Macaca fascicularis: one gene and its partners. Each later gene encodes a partner of the first gene's protein in a complex. Links are inferred from orthologs where the notes say so. Each region holds a gene or a part of one and is shown in the gene's direction. Other genes may lie near its edges.

Region 1 (5,142 bases):
ACTGAGGCAGGAAATGGCTTGAACCCGGGAGGTGGAGGTTGCGGTGAGCCAAGATCATGCCACTGCACTCCAGTCTGGCGACAGAATGAGACTCTATTTCAAAAGAAAAAAAAATTTATGAGAGACAGGTGTGGTAGCTTACGCCTATAATCCCAGTACTTGGGAGGCCAAGGCAGGAGGATCACGTGAGGCCAGGAGACCAGCCTGAGAAACATAGACTCCTGTCTCTACAAAAAATTCAAAAAATTAGCTGGGCTCTCACTTGAGCTCAGAGTTGAGGCTACAGTGAGCCATGATTGCACCACTGCACACCAGCCTGGGTGACAGAGTAAGACCCTGTCTTTTTTTTTTTTTTTTTTTTTTTAAAAAAAAGGTTAGACATGGTGATTTGTGCCTGTTATCCTAGCTCTTTGGGAGGCAAAGGTGGAAGGATCACTTGAGCCCAGGAGTTCGAGACCAGCCTGGGCAGTGTAGTGAGACCCCATGTTCTTATCTGTGTTCTTAGAATCCTACAAATACAAACGAGATTGTCTCTGGCAGGTTGTTGCTAGAAGTTTTGCTGAAGGCTTGGCCAGAGTAGTAAGGGCCCCTGGCTGCTGAAAGCAGAAGTGGTTCTTTAGCCTCTGTTGACAGCTGTATCAGGCCCTTTATTCTTCTGTTTTCTTCTAGCAGGGGCCATGTTAAAGGCTCACCCACCCCTTCTCCCTATGATCCTTCTTAAAACAAAATATCCACTTTAAAAGGGAATTGTCATGAAAGAAGTGCAATTGTCAGAATAATCTTTTGGTACAGTAGAAAGTTGGGAAACTTCTAGGCTCTTTTCCGGCCTTGCAAACTTTGAGCCTTAAGCATTTTACTTCTCTGAAACTCAATTTGCTCTTGATCAGAAGAGCAGAGTAACTGTGGTTCTCTGACGGCCGTGAGAGTTCCGTGAGAATGTGACTACAAGTGTGATTGGTAAACTGGAGAGCTGTGTCCCAGGACACATGATTTTCTTATGTCCTGCTGGGCTGCCAGCCTCACCACTCACATCTGAGTAGTAAGGTGCTACCATCTTCTAAGTGGTATGGTTTCTTTCTCTCCATAGTGCTAAAATTAAAAATATAATTTCCACGGAGGATGCCAAGGCCCGTCTGCTGGCAGAGCAGCAGAACAAGAAGAAAGACAGCGAGACCTCCTTCGTGCCTACCAACATGGCCGTGAATTACGTGCAGCACAACAGATGTAAGCCCCTCAGGGAGAGCGGTCTTGTCCCCTTTCCCTTATTTGGGCTGAGGTCCCTAGGAACCTCATGTTCCGTCTAATGTGTCCCCTGGTCTCTTTGGGTCCAGTTTATCATGAAGAGCTCAACGCACCCATCCGGAGAAACAAAGAAGAGCCCAAGGCCCGGCCCTTGAGAGTAGGCGACACGGAGAAGCCAGAGCCTGAGCGTGAGTGCAACAAAGGCCCCGGGGCTGCCTGGAGTGCTCAGCTCTGTGGGGGCCCATGGAGGCAGGGTGCAGCGGGGGACAGTGTGGAGGTTGGCACTGAAGCTGGGGCATCTGGGTTCCAGTCCATGCTCTGGACCATGACTATGTGCCTTCCCCTTTCTAAGCCTCAGTTTCCTCATGGGAATCCTAATAGAACCTACCTGTGTTAGGATTGCTCTGAGAATTCAGTATCAAGCATACAATCTCATATTCTCAAGCACAGTAGAGACTCAAGAAGTCAGAAAATTTCAGTAAGGACAAATAAAAGCTACTCATAAGGTTAGCTGAGTGCAGTGCCTCACACTTGTAGTCTCAGCTGCTGGGGAAGCTGGGGCAGGAGGATCGCTTGAGACTGAGAGTTCAAGGCTGCAGTGAGCTATGATTGGACGACTACACTCTAGCCTGTGTGACAGAGTGAGACCACATCTTTTTTTTTTAAAGAAAAGAAAAAGGTATTGGCCAGGCTCGGTGGCCTACGCCTATAATCCCAGCACTTTGGGAGCTAAGGCAGGCAGATCACCTAAGGTCAGGAGTTCAAGACCAGCCTGGCTAACATGGTGAAACCCCGTCTCTACTAAAAATACAAAAATTAGCCAGGCATCGTGGCAGGTGCCTGTAATCCCAGCTACTCAGGAGGCTGAGGCAAGAGAATCGCTTGAACCCGGGAGTTGGAGGTTGCAGTGAGCTTAGATCATGCCATTACACTCTAGCCTGGGCAACAGGGTGAGACTCCATCTCAAAATAAGAAGAAAAAGACAAATAAGTGTCTACGGAGGCCCTACTATGTTCACTGGGTTAGGCGCTGGGGCTCCTGTGGGGAAGGAAACAGGCAGTTGTCTTTGCCTACCTGGAGTAAAGTCTAGCAGTGGGTTCCAGCATGGCAAGCCACCTTTCCTGTTCTTTTCCTTCTCAGGGTCCCCTCCTAACCGCAAGCGTCCTGCTAACGAGAAGGCAACTGATGACTATCATTATGAGAAGTTCAAGAAAATGAATAGGCGGTACTGAGCTGTGCAGAGTGGGATGTAAATAGCGCCTTCCTCTCCCTATATCCCTCCCGTGAAACATGGCTTCCTGGCCGGGCATGGTGGCTCAGGCCTGTAATCCCAGCACTTTGGGAGGCAGAGGTGGGCGGATCACCTGAGGTCGGGAGTTTGAGACCAGCCTGACAAACATGGAGAAACCCTGTCTCTACTAAAAACACAAAAAAGTTAGCCGGGCATGGTGGCACATGCCTGTAATCCCAGCTACTCGGGAAGCTGAGGCAGAAAAATCACTTGAACCCGAGAGGCAGAGGTTGCGGTGAGCCGAGATTGCACCATTGCACTCTAGCCTGGGCAACAAGAGCAAAACTGTCTCAAAAAAAAAGAAAAGAAAAAGGGCTTCCTGGACAGAGCATGCTCATTTGCTAGCGAACAGTTCCAGAAACAGACCCTATTGGTCCTTCTGCTTACCTGCTGGATTTTTCAGGCACTAAATTTATAACTTTTTGAAACAAAACAATGTGTAATTTTCCATTTGGGGGCAAACTCTATTCTTGTGAGCATTATTAAATCTTGTTTGTAAATATATTGTCTTTTAATATTTGCTCTGGGTCAGGAAGAAACTGTTCACGGTGTGATAATACCCTTTAGATTGTGCTTTCATTATTATAGATGCATCGTGTCTTCTGCTTTCACGTATCTGGGATGGGGTCAGACATGCATCCTCCATTGATTAGAGTGGGTCCAACTGACAGAAAAATCTAGGATGAGATCAGAAGGATACTGGTGTTTTCTGACTTTTACAAAATTACTTGTTTGTTTTCATTTAAAAAAAAGCATAAACTATGTTTCTTATTACTATTAGAATTGAATTATTAAATTTCAAAATGAATCTAACCATATTGTTTGTATTATGTTTCCTTATACCAACATCAGGTAATGTTTTCAAAGCCCATGGTTTGGGTAGCTAAATGTAAAATTGAATTACTGAGATGGATTTTCTCATTTATTTCAAATGTCATAGACGTGCTGCAACCTGCTAACTGTCAAGTACCTTCTTACCTGTGCCCTCATTTTTCCTGAGGCATCCACATGGTCCGGAAGAGGAAAGAGCAGATTGGCTGACTTACGGGCGGAGTTAGAGCAAGTATTGTGGTTATGGTGGTTTGGCCCAGGAGTCACATCTGAGCCCAGCTCACAGCTTACTAATTGTGTCCTTGGACAGATCCTTTTCACTCTTAGCCTCAGTTTTCTCATCTGTAAAGTGGAGACTTTTTTGTCCTCCTCCACTTGAATGTGGTCAGTGAAGGCAGGAACCATGTATGCCTAATTTTTAAATTTGAAACCCCAGGGCATAGCCCACAATCTGACACATAGGCAGCCCTCAAAACTGTGAATGATCCCTATAGTGTCTGGCTTGTAACAAATGCACAAAAGTATTATTTGAAATCCAATATGAAAAGTTGAACCTTAAAAAATATTTTCAGGATATTTCAACTAGCATTTAACAGGTCCCAACGATGTACAGGCGTAACCCAAGATGAATACTAAAGGCCTAGCACATCTGGCACACAGCAACGCAACACGTGTTTATGGGATGAACAGGCAAATAAGTGGATGATCAACAGTTCTCACTTGCCAGAGTTCCCTTTGCTGGAAAATGAGTAATCTTTTACCCAGCTTAAAAGTGGCCACCAGATGGAGGGAGCCAGGTCTCTCACTGTTGGGGTGGGAATTCACAGATAAGCAAGGGGAGGAGGCTCCAATGATCCGTGTAATGGATTAGAGTTGGAGATGTCAGCATGAGCTCATGTTTAGCTTAATATAAGTACAGATGTTTACCTAGAAATATTTATAGATATGTGTGTGTGTTTAATAGTATATACACACATTTTTTTGTTCTGTCAGCTGAGACTGCCTGAAAGAAATGACATCTCAGCAAGAAGCACACCTAGCACCCAGAGCTTGGTTTCTTTCTTTTTTTTTTTTTTTTTTTTTTTTTTTGAGATGGAGTCTCGCTGTCACCCAGGCTGGAGTGCAGTGGCATGATCTCGGCTCACTGTAACCTCCACCTCCTGAGTTCAAGGAATTCTGTTTCAGCCTCCTGCATAACTGGGACTATAGGCACATGCCACCATGCCCAGCTAATTATTTTGTATTTTCAGTAGAGATGGGGTTTCACCATATTGGTCAGGCTGATCCCAAACTCTTGATCTCAGGTGATCCACCTGCCTCAGCCTCCCAAAGTGCTGGATTACAGGCACGAGCCACCATGCCCAGCCAGTTTGTAATGCCATTCTACAATGAAAGGAATCAGGGTTCCTCGTAGAAATAGGATTCTGGGACGGGGGCAGGAAATATACAAGATGAGCCTGGAGCATCCTGTAGTGGCAGAAAGGAAAGAAGCACTCAAACCCAAATAAACTGGTATACACTGGGTGTAGGTCAAAGGAACACAAAGAACCACTTAAATTCCCCGTGGCCAAAATGAGAACAATTTGAGAAAAAAAAAAATTAGTACTGTATTATAACACAAAGGATAAAATAACAATGGTCCATACTGATATAAATGATTGAATACATGGGGGAGAAAAAACAAATCTCCCATGCAGAATTCCAGATAATCTCTGCAGATACTCTGCTCCCAAGGAGGTGGAGCAAAATCCCTAACTCCTTAATGTGTGGGCTGTGCA
Region 2 (6,540 bases), on another chromosome or scaffold:
AGATTGCTGTCCTCTAGTTTGCTGGTCTATACTGACATCATTGGTGCCCAAACAAAGAGCATTTTGCTTTATGAGGGCCTAGGTAAGCATAAGGTGCCATGTGTGAATATCTACTGTGCTAGAAACAGAACATGGCCAAGGAGTAAAGAATTAGAAGGGTAAGATGTAGCTTTTAGGTTTCCTGGGTCTATAGTCAGCAATAGAAGGATCACACAAGCTGAGAAGTTGAAAGACAAAGTTGCCATAAGATGCTATCAGGTCACTGCTAACTAGGAATGGCTTCAATACCATGTTATGCCTAAAAGGAGCATAGAACCTCAAAAGGCTCACACGATTTCTGTAGATGAAAGTATCTTGTTCTTTTCTGTTAGACTCAAAAGCTTTTGGGACTAATTCCTTCTCAAAAATCATGCCCTGTATTCAAAAGAGGGGGACATAGGATTATTTCTGTTTTCTTGAAACCAAGTTTAGAATTTGAATTTTTCCAGTCAGCCTAGTCTTACTTTGGAATCACAAGGCTGAAAAGGAGGATATTAACAGGCCATTTGATAAGTGATCTGATTAGTCACCATCCTTGCTGGATAAGTTTATCGTGCTTTAAAGGCCAGAGGAAAAGGGGTTTCTCCAATCTACCTAAGAGTTGATCATCTTCAAATCCAAGTTAATGTTATATTGCTGTTACTTTTTGGATCATCTTGCTCCTTCTAAGTTATATTGCAGTTACATTTTGAGGGCTGGAGACTTCATCAAGGGCAAAAAATCTTTTGAATAGGCTGATTTTCTACAGAACCAGTGGCATGGAAGCAAGAAAAGAACTACTTTCATCATAGATTCCTTAACTTGCTGAGCAGTGCCTCTTTCTGGATGACAGGAACTTAGCAATTGATTTATTTAAAAAAGGAAAAACCAGTCAGATAATCCTCCCAAGGCGTCTACAAAAGTGAAGAAGAGGGGCATCAGTTGCATGCTAATAATAAACATAATTATACCAACATCAAAGTGTGAGAGAGAATAGTGATTCATGAGCATGGCCTTTGGCATCATACAGGTTTAGGTTTTTTTATCCCACTCACCACTTGTTCTAGGGTGAGGCTGGGCAACTCAATCTCTCTGAGCCTCTCCTCTGGAATTATAATAATACCTAACTCAAGAGCCTTGTCAGGATTAAATGAGATGATCCATATAAAATACATACTTGCCAAGGTAAGTGCTCAACAGACAATGCCATTACAACCAGAGGCCCTGCTAATGGTCTCTTTCAGTCATCTGGTGATCTAGGGCAAACCAGCAATCCTAATGCTTCCTTGCACTATAACCAAAAGCAAAAAATCCTTTTTTAAAAAATTAACCATTTGAGCCAAGCACAGTGATGATTTGGACCCCTGCTTTCTGACTGGACCTGCTCCTGGCTCCAGCTTGTCCAGAGTTTTCATAAACAGACCAGGTGACCCCTAATGCAGATTCCCTGATAATCTACAGGCCTAGACGTGGATTAGGAAAAAAGTGAGTAAAGTGCCACTTTTTGGAGAAGGGCTGGATAAGTAGAAACAATAATCACTCCAATCTCCAAGTTTTGCCCTTTAGCTTCTCTGCTTTGAGGGCAAAAGGCTGACGGTCTTAACCTAAACGTTGGAGGAGGATGCAGTCCCCAGATTTTTTCCTTCTCTTTTTTTCTTTTTTCTTTTTTTTTTTTTTTGAGACGGAGTCTTGCTCTGTTGCCCTGGCTGGAGTACAATGGCGCGATCTCGGCTCACTGCAACCTCCGCCTCCCGGGTGCAAGCGATTCTCCTGCTTCAGTTTCCCAAGTAGCTGGGATTACAGGCATGTGCCACTAACCCCGACTAATTTTTGTATTTTTAGTAGAGACGGGGTTTCACCATGTTGGCAAGGCTGGTCTCGAACCCCTGACCTCAAGTGATCCGCCCGCCTCAGCCTCCGAAAGTGCTGGGATTACAGGCGTGAGCCATCGCGCCCGGCTTAGTCCCAAGATTTTAGAGCCCAGAAGCGTTTGCAGAAGGACGCAGGGAGAGACTGACTCCCCTCCCTACAAAGTCGCTTTTCCTTTGATACCCCCTGGCCAAGGAAAACCATACACTGGAGACTTCCAGAGACGGCCAACTCGCACAAACGGTGGAAAAAAAAAAATCCCAAAACCTACACTGTCCCCACTAGAAGCACCGCCCCCCGTACGCGCGTGCGTGCGTGAGCGTGCGTACGCACAGGCTGCTGGGATGCCGCTTTTCCCTTTTCGGTCTTCCAGTTTCCCGGCGTGCTTCGGGCCCGCCAAATGGGAGGGGGAGACGCAAGATGGCGGCAGCCGCAAACTCCGGCTCCAGCCTCCCGCTGTTCGACTGCCCAACCTGGTGAGTGGCGGGGCGGCCAGGGCTAGAGTGGCCTGGCCGGAGCTAGCCTGGGCTGGAAGGGCGGCTCTTTTTTTACTTTTCTGCTGCGAGCCGAACGGCTCAGAAACCCTGGAATGGTTGAGGAAAAACTGTTCGCTGCACCGGGCCGGGCGACGTGTTGAAGAACCGAGAGCCTGGAGCCCAGGCCCAGGAACTGAAGAAACACGGGGTTGGGGGCTCAAAGGCGCTCACTTAGGCAGCCCCTTTGAGCGATTAGCCAGTCGCTGGAGCGCTTTGAGGCCTTTGCCCGAACTTACGCCCAACTCCTGACTGAGTGCCTGGTGCTCTCATGGAGCATCGTACCTGGCCCCTTCCTGTACGTCCCGAGCGCTCTCGAGCCAGCCCCTGCCCCAACCCTACGTCTGAGCCCCGCATCCCTCTTTGGTTGCTGCATCCCTCGTGCGGCACTTTTCTGTCTGCCACAGAGAACACGAGGGTAGGTTAGCGCCCTCCCTGCCCTCAGGGAGCTCCCAGTCTGTGGCACGAGTAGGCATTAGTAATGGCTGGCATGAACCCTTTTTATCCCTTCGAAAGTTCTTGAGAATAATGAAATAATTTGGCCTTTGAGTAGAGTACAAGTTGAATAAATATGAATTACCTTACAAGGAAACGCTTCTGAAATTAAGAGTTTTTTTCTGCTGTAGCTGATCGCAGTGTATTGTTTGTTACTTGTCTCTGTCTCCCGTTATATTGCCATCGTCAAGGGCAAATACTGCATCTTTGTATTCCCAGCTCCAAGGCCTGAGTCAGGCACATACAGAAAGTATATTTTGGATGTAACATTCCTCCTTTTTCGTGGACAAAATGGCCTTTTGTCCGGTGCACTGTCCTTTCCATAGAGGAGGGGTTGGGGCAGGATTGTTTGAGATGACTGTGTTGCATCTTCAGTTAGCTAGACAAGGATACGTTTTTTTCGTGTGCAAATCTAGAGGTTCTAGTGAGGTGGTTCTTTTTTCTAACTTCAAATTAGCAAACCCAAAAAGCAAGCAAATGTGTGGCTATTTTCTGGATCGCTTTGCACTTTTGTAATGGTTGCTTCAGTCTACAAATTCTATATCCGTTTTGATCCTTCGCTGTATTGATTTCAAACTTGGACCAATACAGCAAACGTAGTTAGAAAGCACTGCTTTGAGATCACCTACCCTTTCCTTAGGGTCTGGTAGGTACCAGGCACTGTTAGGTGCTTTGACATATGTGAGTCTCCCTTGAATGATATGGCTGTAGGAGTATAGAGGAAACTTCCCTTAATCATGCTGTTGTAGAAAGACCTGTTCAAGGGTAACATATTCATTTGGTACCTGGTTTCATGGGGCATGGTTTTGAATTGCCCTAGTTCCCTAATTATGCACCTCTGATTTGGTCTCAGAGCTCAGGACAGTACTCTGCTTACTCTGTGATGAGACTAATCTTGATCAGCCCCAAACAGCAACTAATTTATTCGATCTTTATATGATATTGGAGTAGGGGTAAATTTCAGATTCAAACTCCAGGTGACCAGACCACTCCAGCTATCGTACTTACACTCTCTATGCAGCTCTTTCTCTGAGGTGAAGATCCAGTGTTAAAATATAGGTTTCTTGGTGCTGCTCTAAATACAGATCCACTAAAATCTGTTTCAGAGCAGTTGAATCACTAGGGAAGTAAGTGTCAAACGTAGAATGGAGCTGTAATAACAGTGAAGTGGATGACATTTCTGCTTGAACATGAACTAATTATAGGCTGGCTGGTAGGAGAGCTGCAATGTTGAATGGGACAGTGATTGTAAATTGCATTTATAAACTCATCGTGAAAATGCTTTTTTCTATTTTTATTTTTCAGGGCAGGTAAGCCCCCTCCCGGTTTACATCTGGATGTAGTCAAAGGAGACAAACTAATTGAGGTATGGAAATACATGTCTTCCTTTTTTGCCCACCACGCTAAAGATTTTTGCCAGTGACTCACTTTTCCACCCCCTCTCCTGTGCTTTGTTTTCCAGCAATGCTACTTTCTTTCATCCTGATTTTTTTTTCTGTTAAAAGCACATGGTGACATCACACACTTAAAGCTTGTATCTACCACAGACACTCACTTTTTTGTGACTTCTCTCAAATGAATGGTTTTAATAGGTCATGGGTCCTGTGGGCCCCAGTCAAACTGGAAGCCCTGTTAGCTTGGTTAATTCCCTCTCCCTGAGTACATGGAGTTGTGTAAACCGTGCAAGGTATGCAGTAACTGAAGAAAGTGAATGATATATGTTGAGTTTAACTTTTAAGTTAATTTTAAGAGATTCAGGCCCAACTCCTTATAAGAAATATGGTAAACTAAGACGACACTTACTCAAAAAGATAATGGAATTGTGGTGAAATTCATTAATTGATTCTTTGAAAACATGTATTGAGTGTTTACTATGTGCCAGTTACAGTGCTTGGCTTACAGATTGCAGCAGTAAGCGAAACCAACATGATTTCTCTCCTCAAGTCTTCCAGTGGAAGAGACAGAATCACACCAAAAAATTACATAGTTATATTTGAATTAAGTACTATAAAAGTTTAGCAGAATTCCAGCTTTTATACAAGCCTCTAGAGAGAACATCACATAGGAGTTCAAGAGAACATGAGTTTTTATTAGCTATTAGTTTACGTAAATTTTTTATAATCCTTATGGTATTATTTATTTACCAAGAGATGGATATTAAGCCCACCATGACCATGTAGCTGTGAGTCTCCCTGTATTAGACCAATTTTATATTTGCTTGCTCAGCTAGAATTTAGGTTCAAGGCCCCATTATTGAATGCAGTTTTTTCCTTGTGGTTTTTTGGTATTTAATAAAAATGTTGCAGTTCCATGGTTGCTAGATTGAAAAGCTATCTGAGATCTTTTGAAGGTTACTCTGTAAATATATTGTTGTCACTTTTGGGATTTTGTAGAGATGACCAGGTATTTTGCAAAGTATTAAGGCATGCATGAGTTTTAATGATTTCTCCTGTTATGAATACATCATGGACTCAGCCAGTCACAGAGAGCCGCTTTATCATGGGTTCTTCAATCTTAAAGATTTAAAACTTCAAGATTATTCAAAGAAATAATTTAGCTAAAATATCTGTAAAACTTTTTTTTACTACGGATTGTTCCACAGTTACAAAATATTTGTTGCTAAATAGCACAAAGCTTGAAGACATATAGAGATTTGTTTTATTACTAGAATTTAGCAAATCTTTAGTTTGCAACAGGAAGAAACAGACAGGGTTGCCTAGTCTTAATGATAACATCACATTCCTTTGTGGAATAATTGGTATTATATTTTCAAAACACTCTAACTTGCTAGACACTCCCCTGATCATTGGTTTCTATTAGCTGATAACGTTCTCTTTCGGTGTTGTTAAGTGTGCTGAGTTGCCACAAACTTGTCAAGTTAAAATCCTCAGACATCACTGTATTCTTGAGAGGTGTAGACCTGAGATGTGCTTATTTTTAGATTTAAACTTAATCAGCACTTGATACTAACCTAGCTATCTATATCCTAGCTTTGTATCAAAGGCTTGTGATGTGTTGTGATAGCTGGGTTTAAGAAGTGCAACATTAAAACAAAAGCCATGAGTCTTTTAAGCCCAGTGTGTAAAGATACACTCTGAGTTATAACTCAGAGGCACAACTGGATAGTGGTACTGGCCATAGCTAGTCAAGAAGCTATGGCTTTAGTGACTGTTGAAAGCCAGTGCATTATTTCAGTCACTTGGACAGAAGCAGCACATTGTTCAACATCTGACACATTTCCTTGGTTCTGAGACATACGGTTTTTTGTTAAAATTCCGTTCATTTTGGCCAGGCTCAGTGGCGGCTCACGCCTGGCCTCCCAGCACTTTGGGAGGCCGAGGCGGGCAGATCACCTGAGGTCAGGAGTTCAAGACCAGCCTGGCCAGCATGGCAAAACCCCGTCTCTACTAAAAATTAAAAAATTAGCCAGGTGCAGTGGCACGCACCTATAATACCAGCTACTTGGGAGGCTGAGGCAGGAGAATCACTTGAACCCAGGAGGCAGAGGTTGCAGTGAATGGAGATTGCACCACTGCCTTGAGCCTGGGCGACAAAGCAAGACTCCATCTCAGGAAAAAAAAAAAAAATTCATTTTAACATTTCTGTAATTGGGATGCCGGCCGGG
Region 3 (5,753 bases), on another chromosome or scaffold:
TGAGGGTTTTGAGGCAAAGGTCTCAGCAAAAGTTACTGGCCCAGGAGAAGATTTTCCAGATTGCTCTCGACGTGAGCACTGCCTGTCTAATCACCCGTTGCTTAGAACAGCAGAAAAGTGGTTGCTTTTCCTGTAACTCGAAGTGGATAATTTAGCTGTCTTGTCTGTGCAGGCATCATTTCACTATGGGTCAGCTTATTGTGCCATTTTTCTTCATGTGCCTGGGCCTGGCCTGGCACTTGCACTGCTGTGACTTCATCCAGTTGTCCTATTAGGACAATAACTTATAGGACATTGAGTCATATACTTTACCAAAAATCGCACAAAAAAACCTATAAGACAATAACTTACGGTCCACAGTTAGAGGCGGGAGCTCATTAGTAGTCAGCACTGGATTGAGCCAACCTTCTCTCCAGGTGACAGAACTGGGCCGTATAGCCAGCCACTACTACATCACCAATGACACTGTGCAGACTTACAACCAGCTGCTGAAGCCCACCCTGAGTGAGATTGAGCTCTTCCGAGTCTTCTCGTTATCCTCTGAGTTCAAGAACATCACAGTGAGAGAGGTGAGCTATGCAGTGTGCTGGGGCGGGGAGTTGGTGCTCAGCGAGTTGCTGAATGGTTTCCCTCCTCGGCCACAAGGCTTTCCCTTGACCTTTTCCTGCTTGTGGCAGGAGGAGAAGCTGGAGCTGCAGAAGTTGCTGGAGAGGGTGCCCATCCCTGTAAAAGAGAGCATCGAGGAACCCAGCGCCAAGGTGAGCGCCGCTCCTCTTTGCTTTGGTCAGGATGAGGATTAAGTGGTTTTCATAATCTTCTAAAAGATGAACCTTGAATTTGGGTTCATGTGTGGTAGCCTGCTCAGTTCTCCTAGTTTTTGCAGCCTTCTCGCATGTTCTTTTTATATGAAATAACAATTATTTAGTATTTGTAAATCAAGACCTGTAGAAGATCTCACCTGGCCTGGATGCTCAGAGCAGAAATGTAATTCCCTTTCTTGGACTGTTCAGTGGTTGGTCTCCTGCTGGCTGATTTTGCTTCTTTACAGATCAATGTTCTTCTGCAAGCCTTCATCTCGCAGCTGAAATTGGAGGGCTTTGCCCTGATGGCTGACATGGTGTATGTCACACAGGTGAGGGTGGAGTTGTATGGGAGCTGTGAGAAGGGGCTGAACAGTTCAGTCCCTGTGTTCTGTGTGCCTGCTGGGAAAAGGAGGCCTGATGCTAGTGAGATGGAAGGAGTGTTCAGTTCTGCTCTTGCGGGGTCATTGGTTGGTGCATGTGTGGTACAGCCACTCTGTAGTACACATCTTGAGCACGTGGGAAAGGTAAGACCTTAAGAGGGAAGGCTTCAAGGCTCCACAGGCCCTCAGACAGGAAGAGCCACAGCACACGGTGTCTGCTTCCCGGCAGCGAAGTGATGTCCCACTGTTGCTGCACAGCTCATAAATAAATCCAAAAACGGCGCGGGGTTTTATTAGCTGCTCTTCATCTTTACCTCTAAGGACAGGTCACTGTACCCTCAACTCTTCCTAGAACTCTAAATGCTAAATGAGTCAAAAGCTTTAAAATCATGCAGTGAATGTTAGGTTAAAATGTTGTGCGGTGACCTTGAGCCGCACTTTTCTAATTGTTCCCCATTCGGCAGACATCTACTGTATAGGAGGGAGAAAGGCGTAAAGACGGGGGACTTTGCCTTTGAGTTGGGGTGGGTGGTTGTGTCAGAGCTGGAGGTAATGAAACCGTGTGCAGAGTGGCTCACAGGCTTGGGGATAGTCAAGACTTAACAGTGGGAATGATGCTTCTTTGCCTAGTCGGCTGGCCGGTTGATGCGAGCGATATTTGAAATTGTCCTGAACCGAGGTTGGGCACAGCTTACAGACAAGACGCTGAATCTCTGCAAGATGATCGACAAACGCATGTAAGGACCCAGTGATCCGGATGCTGGTGCCCATGAGTGGGGTCCCCAGCCCAAGGGTCGTCTGATCTCCAGACCCGACGTCTGAAGTCTGATCTGAACCTTGTTGCATGTTGAGAAGAGGGAAGGCCCTCTGTGGTCGGGCCGGGGGGTAGGAGAAAGGTGGAGGCCAGGGCTGGCACAGCGTCAGTGTCTGCCTTTAATCACTGTGTCTTGTGTGGTCACTGCTGAACTTTCGGAAGCCATGATGTGGACGGTTTGTCACATCCCTGCAGAAGGGACCAACAGCTTTGCCTCCTTCCTGGATAGGTGGCAGTCCATGTGTCCTCTGCGCCAGTTCCGGAAACTCCCTGAGGAAGTAGTGAAGAAGATTGAGAAGAAGAATTTCCCCTTTGAGCGTCTGTACGACCTGAATCATAATGAGATCGGTGTGTGAGATGCTCTTGCCCTTGTCTTCACTGCCTGGGTGTCTCTCCCAGTCTGCCTACGCAGTCTTCCGTTCCTAGCCCTGTGCGTTAGTATCCTGTGTTCCCTCCCCAGGTCCCATTGAAGGGCTGGCCCTTGGTCTGGGGACTTGGAATCCTGGGCTCCACTGACCATAAAGGGAAGGCCCTACTCCTTTCCTGCAGTGGCCCTCAGGCCCAGTTTGCCGGATAGTGGGCAGGCTGGGCTGTAGCCTTAGTACTCGCATTTCCTCGTAGGGGAGCTTATCCGCATGCCAAAGATGGGGAAGACCATCCACAAATACGTCCATCTGTTTCCCAAGTTGGAGTTGTCGGTGCACCTGCAGCCTATCACACGCTCCACCCTGAAGGTGGAGCTGACCATCACGCCGGACTTCCAGTGGGATGAGAAGGTGAGGCTCTGCTGGGCAGAGGAGCTGGATTGGTGGCGCGCTGTCTACGTTGACTCGCGTTCCTTTCACCCTTGCTTCTGTTGGCAGGTGCATGGTTCATCCGAGGCTTTCTGGATTCTGGTGGAGGACGTGGACAGCGAGGTGATTCTGCACCATGAGTATTTTCTCCTCAAGGCCAAGTACGCCCAGGATGAGCACCTCATTACGTTCTTCGTGCCGGTCTTTGAGCCGTTGCCCCCTCAGTACTTCATCCGAGTGGTGTCTGACCGCTGGCTCTGTGAGTGTCTCCTCTCTCGAGTCCCCAGGAACAGTCCCTCCAAGGACAGTAGAAGAATGTCTTGCACTTTGTCCCGGGCTTGCCTTTGCTGGGGACAGAGTGATACATATGCTGCCTAGGTTTCCAGTGTCCATGGAGGGGATCTAGAGGCCAGTGAGGTAAAGAGAGCTTATCTCCTTCCTGCTTCTTTTCTGGTAGCTTGTGAGACCCAGCTGCCTGTCTCCTTCCGGCACCTGATCTTGCCGGAGAAGTACCCACCTCCAACCGAGCTTTTGGACCTGCAGCCCTTGCCCGTGTCTGCTCTGAGAAACAGCGCCTTTGAGAGTCTTTACCAAGATAAATTTCCTTTCTTCAATCCCATCCAAACCCAGGGTAAGTGTTTCCATCCCTCCTCTGGAGGCTTTTGAAGTCACCAGGAGACAGATGTGTTCTGTGGCAGGCAGGGGAGTGGGGGCGCTCAGGCACTTGGTAGGCCTGGGAGCTCCTCAGCGTGACCCCTGGGGCCTACCGGGACTTTTTCCTTTGTCAGAAGCCTTGGTTTCTTTGCTGCTCTGCATGTGTCACTGTGGAGGGGCAGTAGAGCAAGGCCTTACATGGCATGGTTATTTCTCAGGCCCAGGGGGCTTAGAGGCCTGCCCCTGGCACTCAAGTATTGAATCAGAACCATGGCGTGGCACTGAGGCCTCCTCCCCCACATCATGATAAATAACAGGGACATTCACAGAGCAGGCACTGTGGTCTCAGTCCTTGGCTGAGTACATCACCAGTGTTTTGTCTCTTACTCCTCCCACCAAGCCTAAAAGGAGTCACTGTTGGAGATACTGCCATTAGCGTTCCATTTTATAGGTGAGGAACTGAGGCATAGGGGGTGCCCCAGTTGAACCAACTGGTAAATAGAACTTGTATTTTAATTCAGTGTTGATGCCAGGGCTAAGGCTCTTACTTTCTACCTTAGGCTGTTTCTAGGAAATGTAGGAGAGTGTTGAAGGGGCAGAGAAAGGGATCCAGTTCCTTTCTGTCCTGCATCCTAGTCCCTGAGAAGCAAAGAACAATGTGTGGCTTCTTTTGCTTTGCTTTTGTTGTCATCCCACACATCTCCAGGGGACCTGGGCTCTTGATCTTGGCCTCTTCCCCTTTACCTGTTAAGTGGTAGCAGGTGAGGGGGTACAGCAGGGCCGGCCTGGAGTTAGAGGCTCGGATGCCACTGCTCCTCTGTCTGCACTCCAGAACTGCCTGACTTCATTTCTTATGTTGTCCTTTGTTTTGACAAGTGGTCCACGTCCCAGTCCGTCTCTTCTTCCCTCTTGGTACTCACACTGCTTCTTTCTGTTGGTTTCCAGTGTTTAACACCGTGTACAACAGTGACGACAACGTGTTTGTGGGGGCCCCCACGGGCAGTGGGAAGACCATTTGTGCAGAGTTTGCCATCCTGCGGATGCTGCTGCAGAGCTCAGAGGGGCGCTGTGTGTACATCACCCCCATGGAGGCCCTGGCAGAGCAGGTATGACATGGCGCTGTATCACGTGAATTTGCCCAGAAGCATTTCATCTGTGATTCCATATGAAGGCTTTTTTAGGCCGGAAATTTGCAGGGTCATTTCTTCAGTTTGTGTATTAAAGAAAAGCCGCCCCAGCGAGGCGTGGTGGCTCACGCCTGTAATCCCAGCACTTTGGGAGGCCGAGGCGGGCAGATCTCCTGAGATCAGGAGTTCGAGACCAGCCTGGCCAACATGGTGAAACCCCGTCTCTACTAAAAATACAAAAACTAGCTGGGTGTGCTGGCACGCGCCTGTAATCCCAGCTACTCGGGAGGCTGAGGCAGGAGAATTGCTTGAACCCGGGAGGCGGAGGTTGCAGTGAGCCAAGATTGCACCACTGCACTCCAGCCTGGGCAACGAGAGTGAGACTTCATCTCAAAAAAAAAAAAAAAAAAGAAAGAAAAGCTGCCCCATCACATAAAGGCTGCTGTGGGATTAGAACGTAGCTTGAGATCAGCAGGTCTCTGGCATCTCAGGTTTTCCTCAGGTAAGTGAAAGATGCCTGGTATGACCTCATGTTGTTCGGCCTCCCTCCTCTGCCTGCCAGGTATACATGGACTGGTATGAGAAGTTCCAGGACAGGCTCAACAAGAAGGTGGTACTCCTGACGGGAGAGACCAGCACAGACCTGAAGCTGCTAGGCAAAGGGAACATTATCATCAGCACCCCCGAGAAGTGGGACATACTTTCCCGGCGGTGGAAGCAGCGCAAGAACGTGCAGAACATCAACCTCTTCGTGGTGGATGAGGTCCACCTTATCGGGGGCGAGAATGGGGTATGGCGCGACCTTGCAGCACAGATGAGGGACTGGGACTGACCGAGTGACCTTGGCATTGGGCCTTGCATTTGGGTCTGAGGACGGAGGCTTGGGGCTTCTCCCCGGAGGATTCTGCCTGCTGCCCTATTCCAAAGGGACAAGGTCAGCTTTTTTGGTAGTACTTTAGGAAAACAGTATTGTTTAGTGGAGGTTGGCTGCTGTGGAGGAGGTAGAACCAAAAACATGAGAGCTCCTAGTTAGAAGGAAGAACGAGGTCATTTTGAGGCTGCTGGGCTGTTCACAAAGGGGACCTCCAGGCAGAGGATGGGAGCCTCGGCCTGCAGTGACCCTCCCTCCCTCTTTCCAGCCTGTCTTAGAAGTGATCTGCTCCCGAATGCGCTACATCTCC
Region 4 (5,753 bases), on another chromosome or scaffold:
ACAAGTCGTAGACCTGATGCTCCTTTGTCCCTAAGTACTTAAGTGTACATTTCTTAAAATTAAGGGAATTCTCTTACATAACCCCAATAAAATGATCAAAAGCAGGTTATTAAAGTTAACAAAACACTATTATCTGATCTACAGATCTTTTCAATCTCACTTGTCCCAGTAATGTCCTTCACAGCAAAAAAGAATCCCAGATTCCGGTAGCATGCAGTTGTCATAAGTTTGTCTCCTTTGATCTGGAACAGTACCCCAGTCTTTGTGTTTTATGACATTGACATTTTGATGAGCATGAGCCAGTTATTTTGCAAAATGTCCTCTATTTTGGACCCCCTTGTCTTTAAAAACAACAAAACCTGCCTTAATGCTGCCAGTCCCCTCTCACAATGGCCCTGTTTTTCTCCTTCCTTTTCATGACCAGGTTTCCTGAAGAATTAGGAATCACTGCCTATTTTTACTTGATAACTTCCCATTCATTCCTCAACCTTTGCAAACTGGTTTTTACTCCTGTTGCTGCACTGAAATTGCTCTTGTTAAGGGGCACCAATGACTTCCAGACTTTGCCAAATATAGTGATTATGACAGTCTTCCTATGCTCTCTTCTCTGCTTATTCTGTGCATTCTTTCCTTTACAAATTCCATGCACTCCAGTAAGTCCAAAATTCATATCTTTAGTTCCAAGGTCTCCTAAACTTTAGATCTATCGCAGTCCCTGCTAAATATCTGAATCCGAGTGTCCACATACTCATCTGCTATCCTTTCTTTTATTCATTGTTCATTTGAGCATTCAGCCCATAAAACATACCTTTTGAGCACCCACTATGTAGCAAGTATAATAACATGTTTCAGGTATTCAAATGTTACAAATCAAAATTGATTTTCTCTTCCTATTACCTCAAATCTGCTATTCTTCTGTAGTCACTGTCTTTGTGAATAGTATCACTCTTTATCTAATTATATCTAGCCAGAAACTAGACTCCCACCTTTCTTGCTTTTTCATGTACCAAGTCCTTTAGTTGTATTTTCTAAATGTTTCTGATAACCATTTCTTCCTTCGCATGCCCACTGCCAGGTCCCCTCTTCCCACTCCACTGAATTCTGTCCTCTGCATCACCACCAAAGGGCTCTTCCTAACTAATCAGTCTGATTGTGTCATCCACTTCTCATACTCTTCGGTAGCTCTCACCTCCTATAGGATCAAATCAAAATGTCTTAGCATGACATACACCGCCACCCGTGATCTGGCCCTGCCAGCCTCTTGAGCCTTTGCCATTTTGGACAACATGGTGAATGTGAACTTCCTCCAATACACCATGCTCTGAAACTCAGCCATGGTTTTGCACCTCTTCCCATTCCCTGGGGTGCTCTCCTCACTGCTCTCTCTGGCACACCCTTGCCCATCATACAAGTCTCATATTAAGAGTTAACTCTTTAATGGAGCCTTCCCTGACTACTCTGGACACATTTCCTTTTCTTCCTTTTGCACACAGCACATACTTCCATTATAGCACTTACCAGGTCATATTATTATTGTTGTTTATTTTCATGTTTGTCTCGCTTGTGTCCTGCTCCAGAGAAAGACCGTATTCATCTCTCCATCCCCACACCTAGCATAGTGTAGTGAGTGCTTAATCAATACTTTTGAATGAGTGAATGAATGACAACAGTGCCATTTACTTGGTTTGAAAACCCTGTTTTTAGTGTGAATTCACTAAAAAATAGATACTCTACTTAAACTAGCAGAAATTTGATAACCTTTGAGGCCTTATGGACTTACCAAGGTAGAACTTTTCAGGTGAAAGTGGATCTCTATACTTTTTTGGATTGTGGTATCTTTTGCTTATTCTGAATTTTTTCAATTACCTTAGCTTCACAAAGTATTAGAATGTCAATGTGAGTCACATCCTTTCAAAGGGACATATATCTAGTCAAGGTTGTTTGAATCCCTCAAACAGGGTTCTTAACTGGACCTAAGAAGACTTAAAGGAAGAAATCTCATTAAAAACTGAAGCATAATAAAAGTTTGAATGTATTATTAGATGTGCTGCTTTGGTTTTTGATAGTTTGCTTATTTTTTTTTGTTTTTGTTTTTTAGATTTGTTTGTGAGGGAACAGTAGAAGAAAAGATCTTACAGCTCCAAGAAAAAAAGAAAGATTTGGCCAAACAAGTTCTATCAGGGTCTGGAGAATCTGTCACCAAGCTCACCTTGGCTGACCTCAGAGTCCTTTTTGGCATCTAACCTCCCATGGATAAGGGCTCAGAATAGCACCATTGCTGGTTTGTATTAGGATCTGGGAATAACAACCTAATCATGAGCCTTGAACTCTGTTCTTTGCATTTCAATTTCACCATCAAGCCTTTCACCTTCCTCAAAATGAGGCATAATCTTATCCCCAGAATTGAGGAGGGGTTATGTTAGCCAATTAGTTAACCAATTATGTTAATACGTCAATTTATTTAATGAGTGGTATGGAAACCATTTGATTTTTTTAGATAAAAGAAAATATTTTAGAGTTGGATGATTTTGGAAAACAACTCTTGCAGAATTGTACATAAGCTTCAGTAAAGTTAAAAAAGCGGGCCAGGTGTGGTGGCTTATGCCTGTATTCCCAACATTTTGGGAGGCTGAGGCAGGAGGATGGCTTGAAGCCAGTAGTTCAAGACCAGCCTGGGCAACACAGTAAGACCCCATCTCTATGAAGAATAAATAGATGAGCTAAGCGTGGTAGAGCACACCTGTAGTCCCAGCTACTTGGGAGGCTGAGGCAGGAGGTTTTCTTGAGCCCAGGAGGTTGAGGCTGCAGTGAGCTGTGATTGTACCACTGTATCCCAGCCTGGGTAATATAGTGAGACCCTGTCTCAAAAAAAAAGAAAAAAAGCTCAAAAAGTTCTGTGTTGCCTATCTCTTCTTAGCTGATGATGGGAGAACCACTATTACTACCTTCTGTAACACAGACGCCATCCTATCTCTTTTTTTTTTTTTTTTTTTTTTTTGAGACGGAGTCTCGCTTTGTCGCCCAGGCTGGAGTGCAGTGGCCGGATCTCAGCTCACTGCAAGCTCCGCCTCCCGGGTTTACGCCATTCTCCTGCCTCAGCCTCCCGAGTAGCTGGGACTACAGGCGCCCACCACCTCGCCCGGCTAGTTTTTTGTATTTTTTAGTAGAGACGGGGTTTCACCATATTAGCCAGGATGGTCTCGATCTCCTGACCTCGTGATCCGCCCGTCTCGGCCTCCCAAAGTGCTGGGATTACAGGCTTGAGCCACCGCGCCCGGCCTCATCCTATCTCTTCATCTCTTCTTGCCAGTGATGTTGCTCCTGTAACCATCTTTTTGTGGGTGGAGCAGAGAGTCGATCCCTGCAGCCACCCTGCAACCAGCCATCTCTGCAGTTCTCTCAGTGCAGGCAGTTCTTCCTCTCAGACTGAAGGTCAAGGAGATGCTTTGTACATGAACAGATGTTGAGTATCTGTATCATTGTATTGTTTAGTGTCAGTGTATCATTTAGTGTTGTATATCACTCAGTCATTTAATATTGGTTATCACCATATCGTTTAGTATCATTTGGTTCATTGTATCATTTAGTATTTCTGTTATATCATTTCTATTATATGTAGCATTTGTATAATATTTGTGTCATTTTTAATAGTATTTGTATTTTTACAAATTTATAGTATTTGTAGCATTTAGTATCTTTGTTTCATTTAGTATTTGGTATAATCTAATAAATACTAATCCAGTCCAATACTAATCCAATCCAATACTAGTAATACTATTGGTACAATCCAATACTAATAATACTAACAGTAGTATTGACACAATCTAATAAATAATGTGTTTGACAGTGTAGCAGAAATAATGCTATGTGTTCATCAAACCCATTTCCTTTTCCTCCCGGGCACCCAGAGAGACTGTATTTCCATCTTGGCTGCAGTTTGATGGGGTCCGCATCAATAGACTGTGGAGAGAAGTGATGTAAGTCACTTCTAGGCTGCCCTCTACCACTTTTCAAAAGATCATTCATGCTGTTTCTTCCCTCCTCAGCCTATGGGATGCAAAGGAACTGATGGAAGATTACAAGGCCCTAGGGAAGGTGAAGCCACTAGGCTCAGCAGTTCTTAGCCTAGTTTTTGGCCATCAGCCCTTCTATTAGACTAGTAAAGCCTCAGTCCCGGGATGGCTTCCCCATGTGCACTTCCCCCCTCGCACCAGCTCACCTACACTGGACTATGACATGATCAAGGAATCTTTTTTTTTAAGCTACTGAGATTTTTGTGTTGTTTATATAGCAGTTTGTACCCTAATACAAACACTTGAGATTTTATACTTCAGGAAACTATTCAGATTTCCTTCTTCTCATTAGCAATTATTCCAAAAACACTTACTCTGCTAATTTCTGCTAGAAAGAATCACAGTTCTTCTTACATAGAAATATTTCTCTCCCTTGAGTTGGGAAACAAGAGCCTGTGTTAACCCAGTCACAGTGTGGACTGAGGCATTCGGAGCCTGTTCAAGCAGAGGTTTTATATAAGGACAAGATCTAAAGGCTTACAAAGGTAAAGACAATGGCCTGGTTGGAAGAATTCTAGTCTAGAACTGAGACTTGACTCTAGTTCTAGGTTCATCTTAGCTGGGTGTATAACGTTGAAAAAAATTGGCCGAATGCAGTGGCTCATGCCTGTCATCCCAGCACTTTGGGAGGCCGAGGCAGGTGGATCATGAGGTCAAGAGATCAAGACCATCCTGGCTAACATGGTGAAACCCTGTCTCTACTAAAAATACAAAAATTAGCTGGGTGTGGTGGCACGTGCCTGTAGTTCCAGCTACTGGGGAGGATGAGGCAGGAGAATCGCTTGGACCCGGGAGGCGGAGGTTGCAGTGAGCTGAGATCGCGCCACTGCATTCCAGCCTGGCGAAAGAGTGAGACTCCATCTCAAAATCAGTCAATCAATCAATCCTCACTTTCTCTACATTGTGATTTCCTCATTTGTAAGGCGGGCAGTTTTCAGAACTTAGCAGCAGCAAGGTTTCTGATAAGAAGCAAAGGAAGTAATATTGCCTTTTTGAAGTTTTGCTATAAGATAGACACACCAAGGTAAAGATTGAGTCACTTGAGAAGCAGTGGCTCCCAGGCCAGCAAGAATGTACAAACCTGGCTCTGCCATTTGCTGACTGAAATTAGGCAAGTTGCAGATTCCTTGGACATCTCAATCCTTTCATCTGTAAAATGTGTGGATTATCATGTATCTCATGCTCCGCTGGGAATATCATAGCAAATATATATACTATAACATGTTTGACCAGATAGATCAGTAATGTCAACTAGAAGGTGTTGGACGAACATTGTCAGTCTCCAGTCAAGCCCTGTTTAGGGGAGAGGAATTCTTTCAGGTTCAAGTATTCTGGCTTTTAGTTTGGAGAGGGATGCAGGGATTGTAACCTATAATCTTCAGATATTGAGGCCACTGACAAGTAGTCTACTGCAAGGTAGATGCCTCCTGGTATTTTAAAACAGATTCTCTAATTTCCCTTGTTATTGTACGCAAGCAAAGCAACCTAGTTATGTCTTGGGTAGGTGTTCTCATAGCTGTAAGATGCTATTGATTTGATGTGGATGCAGAAAGAAATGGAACCACTGCCTTAGTGGGATGGAATATACCAAACATGCATTCTTAAATCCTAGTGCTGGGATGGAAATGTCTCATGTATTAATGGAAGTGGCATTCTGGTATCCTACCTCAGGCTCATATT
Region 5 (5,753 bases), on another chromosome or scaffold:
TCGTGACTTCCTGCTCAAGCCAGAGTTGCTCCGGGCCATTGTCGACTGTGGCTTTGAGCATCCGTCAGAAGGTAAATTTTCTCTTGGGCATGTAGTGCTCATTGGGCTCTTTAAGGGTACAATAAAAAGATGTGTTTGTTGTTGCTCAGGTGGTAAAAGTTTATACTTAAGGCTAGATCAGGGTCAGGTGCAGGGGCTCACGCCTGTAATCCCAGCGCTTTGGGAGGGCAAGGCAGGAGGGGTGGTCACTTGAGCTCGAGTGCAAGAGAAGCCTGGGCAAGATAGGGAGACTCCTGTCTCTACTAAACGAAGCAGGTGAAGGTTGAGGCTTCAGTGAGCCGTTATTGCACTACTGTACACCAGCCGGGGAGACAGGAAAAAAAAAATCAGGAGATAAGTATCGAAAACGATTTTGGATAGAGGAGGATTATACAGACTTGTTCTTTCTTTCATGATAGCACCAAAGTGCTAATTATCCAAAAGTAGCTTCTAGGTCTGCCATTCATTCTTGTGACTGACTTCTTTTGTCTGCTTATTTTTAATTTTGTCATTTGACTTGTAATTTTAAATTTCCAGAAAGGTCCTGATTGGACCTGTAGTCTCCCTCTGTTGGGCCAGGCCAACTGTGGCCTCTGGAAACCTCTATGACTGGTTTAGAGATGACTGGCTTCTGGGTCAGGTACCAAGTCCTTCATTTTGTCCCGGGTTGTTGTTATGTGACCCGAAGTATGGCAACCTAAGTAGGAGAAATGTCTTTAGCAGGTATTCAGATGTCATGAATTGTTACAGATTAAGAAAAATAAGGACAGAGCCAGGAGCATTGAAGGTGAGCGGTTGGTAGATGCAAGGGGGCTGTTAGTAGGACTGGGAAGGCCTAGATCTGGAGGAGGCCAAAGCTGGGATGAATTAGGAGAGTCTGATTTTGAGGTGAATATAATTGAGCAGAGAGAGGTAAAAGGGGTCTGGAAGTTGGCAAGAACCAGGTAAATACTAGATTTTGAGAATTGAGTGGTAAGAAATGGGCTTGGCATGATGAAAAAGGTTGTAGAGTTATCTGGAGACTGAAGTCTAATTTATCTTTCCTCCCCACTTTTAGTCCAGCATGAGTGCATCCCTCAGGCCATTCTGGGAATGGATGTCCTGTGCCAGGCCAAGTCGGGCATGGGAAAGACAGCAGTGTTTGTGTTGGCCACACTGCAACAGCTGGAGCCAGTTACTGGGCAGGTATATTTGGGGAGAGTGCTGGGGAAGGGGTTTTGGTTAGGACTATAAGGGAAGGGTGTTTTTGTCCTAGCTACATGATGACCTCGGTTACCCTTGACAACCTGACAGCTGTGGGGAATGTTCTATCCAAGCATGGGGTTCGTGATTTAGATCACAGAATTGAAGTCATTTATTATCGGCCCAGGTGTGTTTTTGTCAGTCACTTCCCTAGAGGGAACGATGAAGGGCTACACTCATGGTATGTCTCGGTCTACTTCCTGCCTAAGGTGTCTGTGCTGGTGATGTGTCACACTCGGGAGTTGGCTTTTCAGATCAGCAAGGAATATGAGCGCTTCTCTAAATACATGCCCAATGTCAAGGTAAGCCGAGGTAAAGAGACCTCAGAGTGAGGGTGTGGCAAGTTGGAGGGATAAGAAACTTGTAGGCCAGTAGTCTCTTTAATTTTGGAGAAGTTTTAGTTTGCCATGGTTTAACAGTGTTAAGATCCTATGTAACGGGAGGATTCGTAATTGGGCTATGGATGATGCTTAACCGAGACCACCCTTTTTTTACTACTTTATACTGACTTTGAATCCTATCAGTTTGGTAATTTTGGGGTGTGTGGCAGAGAAAGCCAGAAACTTTAAAACAGCTTCAGGGGTGTGTGAATATTGAGGATTCTGGCCAAGTGCGCAGCGGCTTACACCTGTAATCTCAGCACTTTGGGAGGCCAAGGCATGTGGATCATTTGAGGTCAGGAGTTCGAGACCAGTGTGGCCAATGCGATGAAACCCTGTCTCTACTAAAAATGCAAAAATTAGCCGGGCGTGGTGGCACACACCTGTAGTCCTACCTACTTGGGAGGCTGAGGCAGGAGAATCGCTTGAACCCAGGAAGCAGAGGTTATAGTGAGCTGAGATTGTGCCACTACACTCCAGCCTGGGTGACAGAGTGAGACTCCCATCTCAAAAAAAAAAATCTGATTGAAGTTAAGCATTTTTGGCAATTATCCTTCATAGGTGATGCTGTATCTCCTGTTGTGCCAGAAATCGGGTTGACTTATGTTAGTTATTTTTATTTTTATTTATTTGTTTTGAGATGGAGTCTTGCTGCGTCCCCTGGGCTGTGAGTGTAGTGGTGCGATCTCAGCTCACTGCAGCCTGCACCTCCCAGGTTCAAGCGATTCTCCTGCTTCAACCTGCTGAGTGGCTGGGACTACAGTGTGCCATCATACCCGGCTAATTTTTTTTTTTTTTTTTTGGTAGTGACAGGGTTTCGCCATGTTGGCCAGGCTGGTCTCGAACTCCTGACCTCAAGTGATCCACCCACCTCGGCCTCCCAAAGTGCTGGGATTACAGGTGTGAGCCACTGTGCCTGGCCTCATTAGTGATTTTAGGTTTACCATAGGATTAGCATCGTGACAGTCTGATTCCATGGTCATTCTTTTCCCCCTTAAAACTAGAGTTTCTGGTGTTATTTGACACTGTACCAAGGCCCAGATCCCTAACCAACTATTCACCTAATGGTTTTAACATGAAGTGATAATATTTCACCCAAAGCAGTAATTTCATGGGGTTTGTATGAAGGAGTTTGAGATTCTGGGTTTATTTAGGAAAACTTAATGTTCCATGTGTTTTTTTGTGGTACTTTATACTAATCCTGGTAATTTCTTGCCGTCCTTTATTTATTTATTTTTTATTTTTTGAGATGGAGTCTCGCTCTGTCATCTAGCCTGGAGTACAATGGCTCAATCTCGCCTCACTGCAATCTCCACTTCCTGCATTCAAGCGATTCTCCTTCCTCAGCCTCCTGGCTAAGTTTTGTAGTTTTTGTATTTTAGTAGTAAATTTGTAAATATTGTATTTTAGAAGAGATGGGGTTTCACCATGTTGGCCAGGCTGGTCTTGAACGCCTGGCTTCAAGTGATCCACCTGCCTCGACTTCCCAAACTGCTGGGATTACAGGCGTGAACCACCGGGCCTGGCTTTATTTTATTTATTTATTTATTTATTTAGAGACGGAATATCACTCTTGTTGCCCAGGCTGGAGTACAATGGTGAGATCTTGGTTCACCGCAACCTCTGCCTCCCGAGTAGCTGGAGTTATAGGCGTGCGCCACCACACCTGACTCCTTTATTTTTAAAATGAGGCTTGGCCTCATAAATGAAGGAAGATGGTTAGATTAAGTCAGAAGAACTGAATTATTGTCCTGACTGCTCCGACTAGCTATGTAACTTTAGGCAGTCACCCTCAGTGTTTGGTGGGGGGACATAACATTTCTAAATTAGGTGACCTCTAGAGTTAGTTTTAGTTTTGAAACATGCTAAAAATTGGTTTAGCTCAAACAGTGGGAACTCTGGGGGGATTGGACTCTTTCCTTCCTCTTTTTTGAGACTCTTTGCTCCTGGCTCTCGGCAGGTTGCTGTTTTTTTTGGTGGTCTGTCTATCAAGAAGGATGAAGAGGTGCTGAAGAAGAACTGCCCGCATATCGTCGTGGGGACTCCAGGCCGTATCCTAGCCCTGGCTCGAAATAAGAGCCTCAACCTCAAACACATTAAACACTTTATTTTGGATGAATGTGATAAGATGCTTGAACAGCTCGGTGAGTGGCAGTGCTGGGACTTGGCTAATGCTGGGGAGTTGTTCTTTGGAGCCAAATGATGTTTATTTGAAACAGGAGCGCCTCAGTGCAAGGACGACTCTTATCTATCACCCATGACTGATGGCTCTGGGTTCCCTGGTTGGGCTTTATTATGCTTTTAAGCACAGTAAAGGATGTCATCTATCATCTTTCTATGATTTTTGTTTTTAATCTTTGAGAATAGGGGACTTCGGTAATTTCAGGCCTAAGTTATCACCACCACCACCGTTTTCATTATAGATTCCTATACTGGAAGTCATAGGGGAGATTCTAAACTGAAAGAGAAGACAGTACCCTTCTGGCATCTCCAGCACAGCATTTACAGTCAGAATTTATAGCTGAATAAGTTTCTAGACTCAGGTCTGGGATTAATGTAGAGAGGGTAGCAGTTCGTGTGGTGTGGTATTCTAGTGTGCCAAGTGGGGTTAATGGAAGTTTTTTCTGTAAGATTTGAATCTTGGTGAATGAGTGTGGGGTTGGACATAGGCCCCATAAGTCATTACAAATGGTCTTCGGCAATTCAGTGTGGTGAGTTATAAAGGTGGGCTCCAGGTAGCAATGTCATATTTGCCTGAGTTGATAGAAAAGTGATCCAGAGAGTCATAGATGGACTCTGCTACCTGGAATGTAATATATGGTTGATACTTGTAGTCTCCTGAGGGCTGGCTGGGGCTTGGACAGGAAAGGATTGGGAGAAGGGCCTGTAAAGCATGTTTCGAAGGCCTTGAGAGCGTCTGCACTGGGCTTTGTCCCCGTTTTATAGTTGGGAACTTTGGGGTTTTATCTTATTTCTTGCTTGGTTAAAACGAACAGCTGGAATCTGATCCCAATTCTTGATTCCAAGTCCATTGCTTTTTCCGTTGTGTTATTACTATTTCCAGCAATCTTCACCTCACTGGAAAGTCTACCTCTAATCTTTGTTTATCATACTTGCTTATTTTCTCCTACAATTTTTTTCCTTGTTCTTGTAGACATGCGTCGGGATGTCCAGGAAATTTTTCGCATGACCCCCCACGAGAAGCAGGTCATGATGTTCAGTGCTACCTTGAGCAAAGAGATCCGTCCAGTCTGCCGCAAGTTCATGCAAGATGTAAATACCCTTCTACCTTCTCTCCCTCCACTCCCCGCCCGCTGCCTCCTCCCCTTCCTCGCCCTCTTCCTCAGACTCCCTTGTCATTCAAGTGCCAAGAAGGCGGCTTGTGCCCAACTGGGAGTAATGACTCCTTGAAGAGACATACAGAAGCAGAGACAGCTAGTGTTAGGGTCTGCGCGGGTGCCAGGGAAACTCCGGAAGACTTGGTCGGGTTAATGTGAGAGCGGGTAGTGTTCGACTTTTTCAAAAATCACAACATTTTTGAACCTCTTCTCCCTTTGGGGGAGGGCAGAATTTTTCTGCCCTACCACCCACCCATCGTCTCTTACGTGCCCCCTACAGCCACGCACTGTCAAGGTGGCGTCGAGCATACAGCTGGAGCCTTCTGCTCACCAAAACTCCTACTTTCCGGTGGCAGGAGAGCAAGAGAGGGACAGACAGATGGCAGGGCATGTCCAAAAGAAGAGCATCAGCACAAATGAATCCTCCCCTTCCCCACCTCCAGGGGTGGGGGCCTTTGGCACCTCAATCCCCGATACCCTACTCCTTCCCACCCACATCTCCTTGCACCCATCTGGAACCTCGGTTGATGTGAGCCGGCAACAGAGAAGCACCGTGGCGCGGCGAGGGAATGCAGACGGCACCCAGCGGTGGATGGCGGCAGCGGAGGCCGCGGGGAAACCTGACCAGGAAGCTGAGGACCAAACCAGCCTCTTTTTCCGTTCCCGGTTTTTTTCCTGAACCCAACGCGTGCCGTGCCCCGTTTCCCCCCATATGTGTTGGGGAGGGGTGTCCTCAATGGGGTGGTAGATTTTT

The links.
Region 2: C15H9orf78 (region 1) and PPP1R8 share a complex: the UniProt entries of both Homo sapiens proteins name them as parts of the spliceosome. The link is inferred for Macaca fascicularis from reciprocal best matches to the Homo sapiens genes C9orf78 and PPP1R8.
Region 3: the proteins of C15H9orf78 (region 1) and SNRNP200 are in contact, whole or in part, in a cryo-EM structure (PDB 7OS2), measured with the Homo sapiens proteins. The link is inferred for Macaca fascicularis from reciprocal best matches to the Homo sapiens genes C9orf78 and SNRNP200. Residues at the interface, in NP_057604.1 of Homo sapiens: Arg5, Lys6, Ile7, Phe8, Arg9, Arg10, Arg11, Glu16, Ser17, Glu19, Glu21, Asp23, Ser24, Glu25, Val27, Arg28, Lys30, Leu31, Thr34, Arg35, Val37, Gln38, Arg41, Arg43, Pro44, Asn45, Gly46, Val47, Ser48, Ala49; in NP_054733.2 of Homo sapiens: Val1188, His1189, Leu1190, Gln1191, Glu1201, Pro1283, Ser1285, Arg1287, His1288, Leu1289, Asp1729, His1730, Asn1769, Tyr1770, Asn1772, Gln1774, Gly1775, His1780, His1784, Leu1788, Gln1791, Asp1795, Gln1798, Ser1799, Tyr1826, Thr1827, Glu1830, Leu1831, Met1834, Ser1835.
Region 4: C15H9orf78 (region 1) and TTF2 share a complex: the UniProt entries of both Homo sapiens proteins name them as parts of the spliceosome. The link is inferred for Macaca fascicularis from reciprocal best matches to the Homo sapiens genes C9orf78 and TTF2.
Region 5: C15H9orf78 (region 1) and DDX39B share a complex: the UniProt entries of both Homo sapiens proteins name them as parts of the spliceosome. The link is inferred for Macaca fascicularis from reciprocal best matches to the Homo sapiens genes C9orf78 and DDX39B.

What each region holds. Positions count from the first base shown.
Region 1 is NC_088389.1:14,077,956-14,083,097, forward strand, and holds the end of C15H9orf78 (splicing factor C9orf78 homolog), read left to right. Parts: intron 1-1,087; coding exon 1,088-1,224; intron 1,225-1,331; coding exon 1,332-1,430; intron 1,431-2,382; coding exon 2,383-2,474; 3' UTR 2,475-3,346; downstream 3,347-5,142. UniProt on the Homo sapiens protein: Plays a role in pre-mRNA splicing by promoting usage of the upstream 3'-splice site at alternative NAGNAG splice sites; these are sites featuring alternative acceptor motifs separated by only a few nucleotides. May also modulate exon inclusion events.
Region 2 is NC_088375.1:207,231,798-207,238,337, reverse strand, and holds the start of PPP1R8 (nuclear inhibitor of protein phosphatase 1), read left to right. Parts: upstream 1-2,285; 5' UTR 2,286-2,307; coding exon 2,308-2,363; intron 2,364-4,220; coding exon 4,221-4,281; intron 4,282-5,869; exon of another isoform or gene 5,870-6,035; intron 6,036-6,540. UniProt on the Homo sapiens protein: Inhibitor subunit of the major nuclear protein phosphatase-1 (PP-1). It has RNA-binding activity but does not cleave RNA and may target PP-1 to RNA-associated substrates. May also be involved in pre-mRNA splicing.
Region 3 is NC_088387.1:1,368,302-1,374,054, reverse strand, and holds part of SNRNP200 (U5 small nuclear ribonucleoprotein 200 kDa helicase), read left to right. Parts: intron 1-416; coding exon 417-569; intron 570-677; coding exon 678-758; intron 759-1,048; coding exon 1,049-1,132; intron 1,133-1,813; coding exon 1,814-1,920; intron 1,921-2,226; coding exon 2,227-2,345; intron 2,346-2,618; coding exon 2,619-2,773; intron 2,774-2,860; coding exon 2,861-3,050; intron 3,051-3,248; coding exon 3,249-3,422; intron 3,423-4,390; coding exon 4,391-4,551; intron 4,552-5,134; coding exon 5,135-5,362; exon of another isoform or gene 5,363-5,506; intron 5,507-5,711; coding exon 5,712-5,753. UniProt on the Homo sapiens protein: Catalyzes the ATP-dependent unwinding of U4/U6 RNA duplices, an essential step in the assembly of a catalytically active spliceosome. Plays a role in pre-mRNA splicing as a core component of precatalytic, catalytic and postcatalytic spliceosomal complexes.
Region 4 is NC_088375.1:117,298,416-117,304,168, reverse strand, and holds part of TTF2 (transcription termination factor 2), read left to right. Parts: intron 1-2,098; coding exon 2,099-2,243; 3' UTR 2,244-2,281; intron 2,282-5,753. UniProt on the Homo sapiens protein: DsDNA-dependent ATPase which acts as a transcription termination factor by coupling ATP hydrolysis with removal of RNA polymerase II from the DNA template. May contribute to mitotic transcription repression. May also be involved in pre-mRNA splicing.
Region 5 is NC_088378.1:140,191,827-140,197,579, forward strand, and holds part of DDX39B (spliceosome RNA helicase DDX39B), read left to right. Parts: coding exon 1-71; intron 72-1,096; coding exon 1,097-1,224; intron 1,225-1,490; coding exon 1,491-1,583; intron 1,584-3,621; coding exon 3,622-3,805; intron 3,806-3,855; exon of another isoform or gene 3,856-3,931; intron 3,932-4,815; coding exon 4,816-4,934; exon of another isoform or gene 4,935-5,753. UniProt on the Homo sapiens protein: Involved in nuclear export of spliced and unspliced mRNA. Component of the TREX complex which is thought to couple mRNA transcription, processing and nuclear export, and specifically associates with spliced mRNA and not with unspliced pre-mRNA.